Drosophila melanogaster: one gene and its partner. Changing the gene in region 1 together with any one later gene gives a genetic interaction. Each region holds a gene or a part of one and is shown on either strand. Other genes may lie near its edges.

Region 1 (3,931 bases):
AGAAAGCCAACAGCTTCAACCCCAACTGGTTCTGTGCCACCACCCACGTGACCGGCATGTCCGAATCAGTTGGTGTCCATGGCTCTCACTGCGTTTTCCATTTCGATGGTCTGACCACGGGAAAATAAACAAAAAAAACAAACCGAGAAATGCACAGAAAAAATATACATACAGAAAAACATTAAGTGGACAGAAAAAACGGCGAGCGGCGACAACAATAACGAAAGTGAAATTCTACAAAGATCGTGATGGCGGAGCGGCGTCCACGCTTGGGCAGCCACCAGTGCCATGCCAGCCTGGTCAGGCGTTTACCCCCGACATTGTAGTGCCGACCAGGCCACGTCAGGCCCAGCCAAGAAAGCCAAACAATAACAAACCGCTGTGGCCGCCGGATTTTCCAGCCGCTTTGTGTCTCATGTGCGCGCAGTGAAATTTGGGTCAAGGAAATGCCAATCGACAGGTTGCACCTCCTCCTGGCCGCCAGTGGATGCATGGTCACCGTGGCCACATGGCCAGTTGGACAAATAGTTAGATGACCGTTATTAGCCACTAACTTTTGCCGGTGTTTTGCAGGCCACAAATTGCCTGGCTCGCAGGGGGAATAACCTCAGTTGACCCACTGCGTGCCAATGCAATTTTCATGGATCTCATTTCGTACTTTCAATGCTCACAACTAGGAGTTCAGCATTGTCTGTTTATGGTTATGTATCAATGGCTTAACTTAAGTACTATATAATAGCGATAGAGTCCATGATAATATCTTCGATAATATGCACTTCACTAATTTATTAACGGCTTCGCAGCAACTTTATAACATTACATCAATTTTATTTATGTAACTAAAGATACAACTTCTTGAGCTTGTTAAAGGCTTACTGTTCTATTTTTTTTAAACACAGCATGTATACTTTAAAATGTCAATTTAGGAATGGCTAATCTAGAATGTATTATGTTTTAATTAATTGCAAATTTCGGACATGCCAATGTTAGATTTATTAAATAATATTATTATTATTGCATTATTATAAATAATGTCCTTTAAGAAGTAATCTTTGAAAATCATTAAAAAGCTTGAATTAACTTGAATTTACATTAAAATGCTTAATTTAGTTTAAATCAATTTATTAAAATCCATTCATTAGATAAGCAATGGCTTTGATCTTTGGTCACAAGGATCGCTGCAGACGAAAGCTGCAGCGTTTTTCTAGGGTCAACATCAGCATCAACATCAGCGCCAGCATTAGCGACAGCATCAGCGGCAGCATCAGCGGCAATCGCATCTTGCTGCGGCAACATCGAGCGACACTGTTAAGTCGGTCGGCGCAGCGCTCTTAACCGCAAGGCCGTGCTGTAAACCGATTCAGTTGGGTTTGAGGCGCGCACGCGTACGGACGCCGAGAGAAAGAGCAGCGACTGGGCGAAAGAAAGCAGGCGGAGAAAACAGGAATCGCTGATCGGTGGCAAAGGCAGCAATAGCAGCAGCAGCAGAAGCGGCTGAAGAAGAAGCCGAGCAGACGCCGAATTAGAAATGTTTACCATTTAAGCGACGCCTAATGGAAATACTCTCACGTACCGCACCGCTCTCGGCTCTCTTGAAAACGCGCTCTCCCGCGTTAAAGTGAAAGTTTTCCCCACAAAAGTGGCGAAGGTCCGTTATCTTGGCCGCTGTTCGGGCCAACTCGCAATCAGTCAGTCAGACACACGCGGAGCGTTCAGTCGACCGGACGCATGGTCGCTGATACAAGATACAAGATACACGATATAGATACCCGATACCCAGATACTATATATGTGGTGCAGTGTGTTAGTGTTTTGGTGCGAGCAACTGTAAATTCGCAGCTGACCAAAGAAAGTGCGGTCGTCGCAATAAAACCGAATTAAATTCAATCGAAATCGGAATCGGATCCACACAGTTACAACTCAATTCGCGTTCGTCGCCTAAGTCTTTCGTTCAGCGCGCTTCGCTGCCACGCTGTTTTCGCACTCACGCCCGATTTTCGGTGGCAATTTCGAAACAAGCAGGGCGCATATCACTATCACAACGAGCTGCCAGACGGTCTAGGCCAAGAACTCCCCGCAGGTGTCCGGCAGTCCAGCAGCAAACATGTTTAAGTGGGTTACGCCGGCCTCAACGGCGACGTTGTCCCGCTGCACACTGCCAGCAACAACAGCAGCCACAACAACAACAACGGCGATGGCAGCAACGAGAACAGCAACGACAACGACGAGAACAACAAGACCACAACTACTTTCCATCGCTTTAACAAGTTTAATAATAATAGTCGCATCATTTGTGCCGACAACAAGTGGATTTAGATCAATTGAAACGAATGGCGGTAAGTGACAGACCATTTAGCTCATTGACTTGCCTGCGCAATGATCCATCGATCCGATGAAAGGCCGCGTTGAGAAGAAAGTTTAGCACACAATAAAATGTAGAATTAAGGCAAAGAAAATCAATTTGCCAAATTGCAAGCTCATGTCGCTGCAAATCGAATCGTGTCAGTGGCTTTTGCTGCCTCACTTTGGTTCACTTTGGCTCACTTAGCCATCGCATCCCATCCCCACCAACGGGGGCTTTCACTCAATGCCTCGGCCTGGCCAAGTTGACAATGCTCGTGGCAAAAAAAGCACAAAACTATGCCTTTGTGTCAATAAATGAATCAGAAAAACTTTGGCACAGAAAACTGCGGCTGTAGATGGTGCTCTTCGAGTGACTTTCCACACTCCACGCACTTGGCAATTATTTGGTTCGTTTTATGCTACATTACGGCCACAAAAGACCTCGGAGATGTTAGGCACAGCCGTCGACTTTCCTTGTGACAGTTTTTACTGTCTTTCGAGTGTTTAGTGCTGCCTCTCAGCATCCCATTGCCGTTAATTGTCGAGGTCATTTGGCTGATTTAAAAAGTGAAACAAATTTCTAGAGTACCTGGTTATTAGTTCGATTCGGATTCGGATTCGACAACAGCCTGAGCCCATTCAATTCAGATTGAGCCCAAGTGCCGGCTAACAAAAGAGTCGAGGTGCAAACTCAATAAAAAGCCAAACACAATCACAATCAAAGGGGGGAAACAAACCATTCGTGATAATCGTCAGTCGGCAGTACCTCTATGTAGCACGAAAAAAAGGAACAAAACTCTTTTATATGTGAAATTTCACACACCATTTTCATTTCTTTAAGATCGTTAAAATGGTGAAAACACTCATAAGTACGTTGTTAAGATATTATGGCTGTAGGGAAAACATTATAAAGCTGAAAGCATATATACCCCTGTTTAATCAATACTTTCCTCAAGTTCAAAGCCCTTACAAAGTGAATCTTTGTTTATACAGCTTACGCTGCAAAATTTGCAGACAATCTTTACAAGTCCTTTGATACGTTGATACCCTTTTACAAACACCTCTTTAAAAAAAAAAAACTGTCTAGCCTTCGAAGTTTATTGTACCCTTCAAATTAAAAGCGAAAATGAATATTTGCATTTTGATTCAAATAGAAACCGATTACATTACAGAAATGTGTAAGACACTTTAGGCATTTAAAAATGTATACAAAGTTTGGGTACCAAGCATATTTACTTTTCTAATCGTCAGTCGACCGAAGTTAGGTCCCACAACAATAATGGCTTCTTGGGATGCAGTGTCTTTTCTTCGAGGCGTTTTCCCAACGATTCTCTTTGTTCCCCTGCCCGACTCTTCCGACTTAGCTTACCCCATCTGAAAGGTTTGGGAAAACCTAGGGAAACCCATGAGGAGAAAATCAATACTTCCGCTGGTCAGCCAGCAATCGCAGAACTGTGCTGCGTCAGCGAGGTGGAAGTCGGCAAATGCCAATCATCGGCCACATACACACCTGATCATTAGTACGAAACACGTAAAACAATTTTCAATTTCTATTCAGGCGCGTTGTTTGCATAGAAAGAAAACCAGG
Region 2 (3,931 bases), on another chromosome or scaffold:
AACAAACGGTTTTATGGTTTATTTTTAGCCCGTCCAACGGCTTGGCAACAGTAGCCACCCTTTCCCCTTCGCGACCCACCAAAACTTCCCCTTCCCTTTTACCGAAAAATATAAAAAAACGCTTAAGTGCTAGCTGTAAAACGAAGAGAGAAGAAGAGGAGCACTACTTCTTACTTCCGACTGCAGCGGGCAAGTTGAAGTTCGTTTTGAGGTCGCCTAAAGACGTTTAATTGTTTTGGAATCATTATATTTTCCAGCTTGTGAATTTTTGGCTGCACATTGCGCATACGTCACGTGGGAAGATTGAATTAAGTGTAAAATCCGATCAACTAAAGATGTTTGTTTGAGGAATTTTTGAAGATTGGGAATATAATAATATAATTTCTTTATGTTTTCTAATAATAGAAAATATTCAAACATGCAGAAGTTCTTTTAGTTTCCTAAAGTTACCTTTAGCATAAAATTTCATTGTTTACGAAAAGAATAAATAAATCTTAAACATATCTTTATAATGAGATCACATTGTGGTTATTCACCTAAATGGCATGGAACAATCCAGACCTATAAAAACTCAAATTTAGCACATTTACAACATTGAATTTAATTACTAAGGCTGCTTCTAGCCAAGAATTTAGTATATTAGCTAGCTAGTTAGGCTAACGAGAACATTTTTCTGCAATAGTTTCTTCACCTCAAAAAAAAAAAAAGAACTCAGCGCCAAAATCCGTTCCCACTTCTAATTAGCATTGTATCCATCCCGGGATGCCTTGTCACTGCCCATTAGTGGGATGTGAATTTCACAATTGTCATAAGTGGAGCCCTACGGATACCAAATCCAATCCCCCACCCCCCTCACGTTCCACCTGCCTGTCTAAAGGCCGTCTATTTGTATTTCATAACAGGTGAGTAATATACGAACATATCGGAAACGATTTCGGTCAATGACTTTTGCCTGATTTGTTTATAAGCCAGAATTGAGAATATTCTTCTTATTTGCGGGGCCGTTGACTTGAGGAATTTCGATTTGTTTGGTTTTGCACTGGCTTTGGTATATTGGGGTAGAACATTCTTTGTTTACTTACTGTTACGAAATTGCAGCTTCAGCTAATAGACATTTTGAAAAATATACTCAAAAATTTATCAACGTTCTGTGTCAGATGTTTCTGGAGCTTTCTGTTTAAGTTTTGTTTTGCGGTAATCCGTTTTCAATTATATAATAATCCTTGGGAGTTGTAATTTAAAAATCCTTATTAGGTTATCATTTATATATATTAGTTTTTGATGATTTTTTTTGCAGATTGAATTCAAAGCATTTAAGATAGAGGAAGTGAGCAAAATATAAAACACCAAAAGTGGATAAATAATAAAAGTCCAACACCGAAAGTTTAAATGAGGAGGGTAAAAAATAAAAATAATATTTTTGTATACTCACAAAAACAATGGGAGGAAGACATAAAAACTATGCAAAAAATAATGAACGGGTAGTAGTACGAGTAGATTGTTTATTATGTGTGGGATATAGATATGAATTGCAGCACTGCAATCTGGGATGATAGTTCCGTAGTGGATAGTGGTTTAATTTAGATTGCTTTCCAATATTCTTGGTTTTCTTGGTATCTGACTTTTTGCAGTATGTACAATGAACCAATTCAACGATTTCCGGGTTAAAATATTTACAACAGCGTTTTTAGAAGTATTTTGCATGTGTATTTCGTATGTTTTGTTTTGATTTTTAACTTTTTCTTTAGCGTATTTCCTTTTTATTGCACTGTTTTTGTTCACTTTTAGCACTTTGTTGGGGATTTTCGTAGTTGGATTTGTAATGTATTTGACAATTTCTTTAACTCTTTGTCAACCATTTTCACAATTTATTAGCCGCATTTTAGCTCAATTAAAATTTTACGTTTTTGTTCACTTCTTTTGCGATTCTTATTTCTTTTGTATTTTCGCTGTGCGTTTGTTCTAATTTCTGTTGCTTGCTCTTTCGATTATTGCCACTTCACATGTTCGCCACTGTATCTGTAGCTGTATCTGTATCTCTATCTGTGTGGATGTCTGCGAAGAGGTGGAAGAAGTCCACGTCCACAATCAAATCGAACCGAACCGCGAAAGAACGCAGACACTGGGTGCGCACAAATCCGCAGACGTCAACGGTAGAAAGCCAACTGTGCGCAGGCGCAACACGAAAAGAAATTTCCGAGCCAACGGCGACGGCGACGTCGACGCTGGCGCAGATACAAAGATACAAATCACGTTCGGGTCCGAGTCGGAGCGGAGCGCCGGAGAGCATCGCAACATGTTCGAAGCGCAGACCTCGGCTCCAACGTGAGTTCAAAGTCAGGGCTAAGTTTGTTTATGTTTCTTAAATCTCGGCAAAAGCGGCAGATTTTTGGGATTTTTGAAATAATATCAATTGCCATGTTACTTGTAATGTCTTACAGTTGTAAATATATTTAGCCCAGTGTATGAAATATTAGATTTTAGTGTTTAAAAGTTGTTTTATTTCAGTCACATCGATTAATTTCGGAAACTTTCGCAAATAATTAATTTTTAAGTGGAACCTATTTCATAGTTTTATTCTATTGTAATCTGAATCGTATCTTAACACTTTTTAACGTATCTTAACATTTTTTTTCTTAAATTTCATTTGCGCTTCATGCTCATACCTGTTTGAAGCTGCCATGCAACTTGACCTACTTAGTAAAAATTTAAACATTTTTTCCTGTTATTCCGCCTTATAAACATGTTGCCAGCAATTTACAGTTTGCCGGGCCAGCAACATGTTGCCAACGTATATTTTGCCCAAGAAATGTTCAATTTTTATTACCACACTTGTTTATTAATTTCTATTCAAAATACATTTGTAGAATTTAATATATTTCTTAACCAAAAAATATATTTTTTATTTCATATATAATATATATGCTATTCAGCAGCGTCTGCACTTGGCACTTGCCATTGTTGTTCTTTAGCCTGACTGTTGTTATTGCTGTCACAGCCACTGCTGCTAATATTGTTGTTGTTGTTTTAGCAGTGCCTGTGCAGTTAACGGTATCGCTTCGAAAATGAAAGCTCCGAGCAGCGCTCACAGGTTGCAAAGTTTTGTGTGGATTTTTGTGTTTTTGCTCACGACTTTTTTACAACAACAGCAGTTGCTGTGATTTTATTTGTTGATTCAATACCCTGTCAAATTGGAAGTATTATATTTTAAGACCCTTTATCGTTTCAATATATTAATTTCTAATTATAAGTTATTTGTACAAAACATTTATATATGAAAGTTGTTAGTTCGATCGTGGTGAATATGACAAACTATTGGACGACTAACAGGGTATTTGACAGGTCGCCACTTGGTACTACCAATCCCATATGGAAGTTAGTATCTCTGTTGGTTGGCACTGGCATTAGCATAAACAAGAGCCGCCTGCCTCATCATCGTGTTGACCAAAATGCAACTGCGTCACTACGGACTTGGTTGATATGGGTACTTTCCCCGCCGCCTCCGCTGTATCCGTCTGGATTGTTGGTCATGTTCATGCCTCATGATTTGTTTTTCATCTGCCGGCACATCTTCTTCCCCCTTTTGGGACCACAGTCATAGTCTGTATTTGTGATGTCTGATTTTTCTTCGCTGGAATTAACTTGCGTTTTTTATTTCGCAAAAGTATTTCATATGCATGCTGGGCAATTTTTTTTCATATCAAATATTTTTGTTTTCTTTCCATGCGTGACTCATGGAAGTTAATAAAAATTTATCTTGGGATTGTCTTGAACTTTGTCGCCTACTTGGAAGGGAAGGTTTCATGGCCAAGTTTGCCGCATAAGTCTTTTGTTTGGCTCGGTGTATGATGATGTATGATTAACAATTGCTAGCAAAAGAATGGTATTGAATATAATGGTTTCTTTGAATGAATACTTGGGAAGCATCTGC

The links.
Region 2: of flz (region 1) and ich, changing one suppresses a phenotype caused by changing the other (phenotypic suppression), as found in Drosophila melanogaster (one study listed by BioGRID).

The regions. Positions count from the first base shown.
Region 1 is NT_033778.4:8,983,332-8,987,262, reverse strand, and holds the start of flz (filzig), read left to right. Parts: upstream 1-1,687; 5' UTR 1,688-2,104; coding exon 2,105-2,336; intron 2,337-3,931. UniProt on the Drosophila melanogaster protein: Probable endopeptidase. In tracheal terminal cells, acts downstream of ich to regulate seamless tube growth and/or maintenance probably by processing lumenal matrix proteins.
Region 2 is NT_033777.3:8,960,867-8,964,797, forward strand, and holds the start of ich (ichor), read right to left. Parts: upstream 2,172-3,931; 5' UTR 1,433-2,171; intron 1,223-1,432; exon of another isoform or gene 1,083-1,222; intron 1-1,082. UniProt on the Drosophila melanogaster protein: Transcriptional activator. In tracheal terminal cells, regulates the transcription of factors involved in the formation of a mature apical extracellular matrix (aECM) which is essential for the integrity and shape of seamless tubes.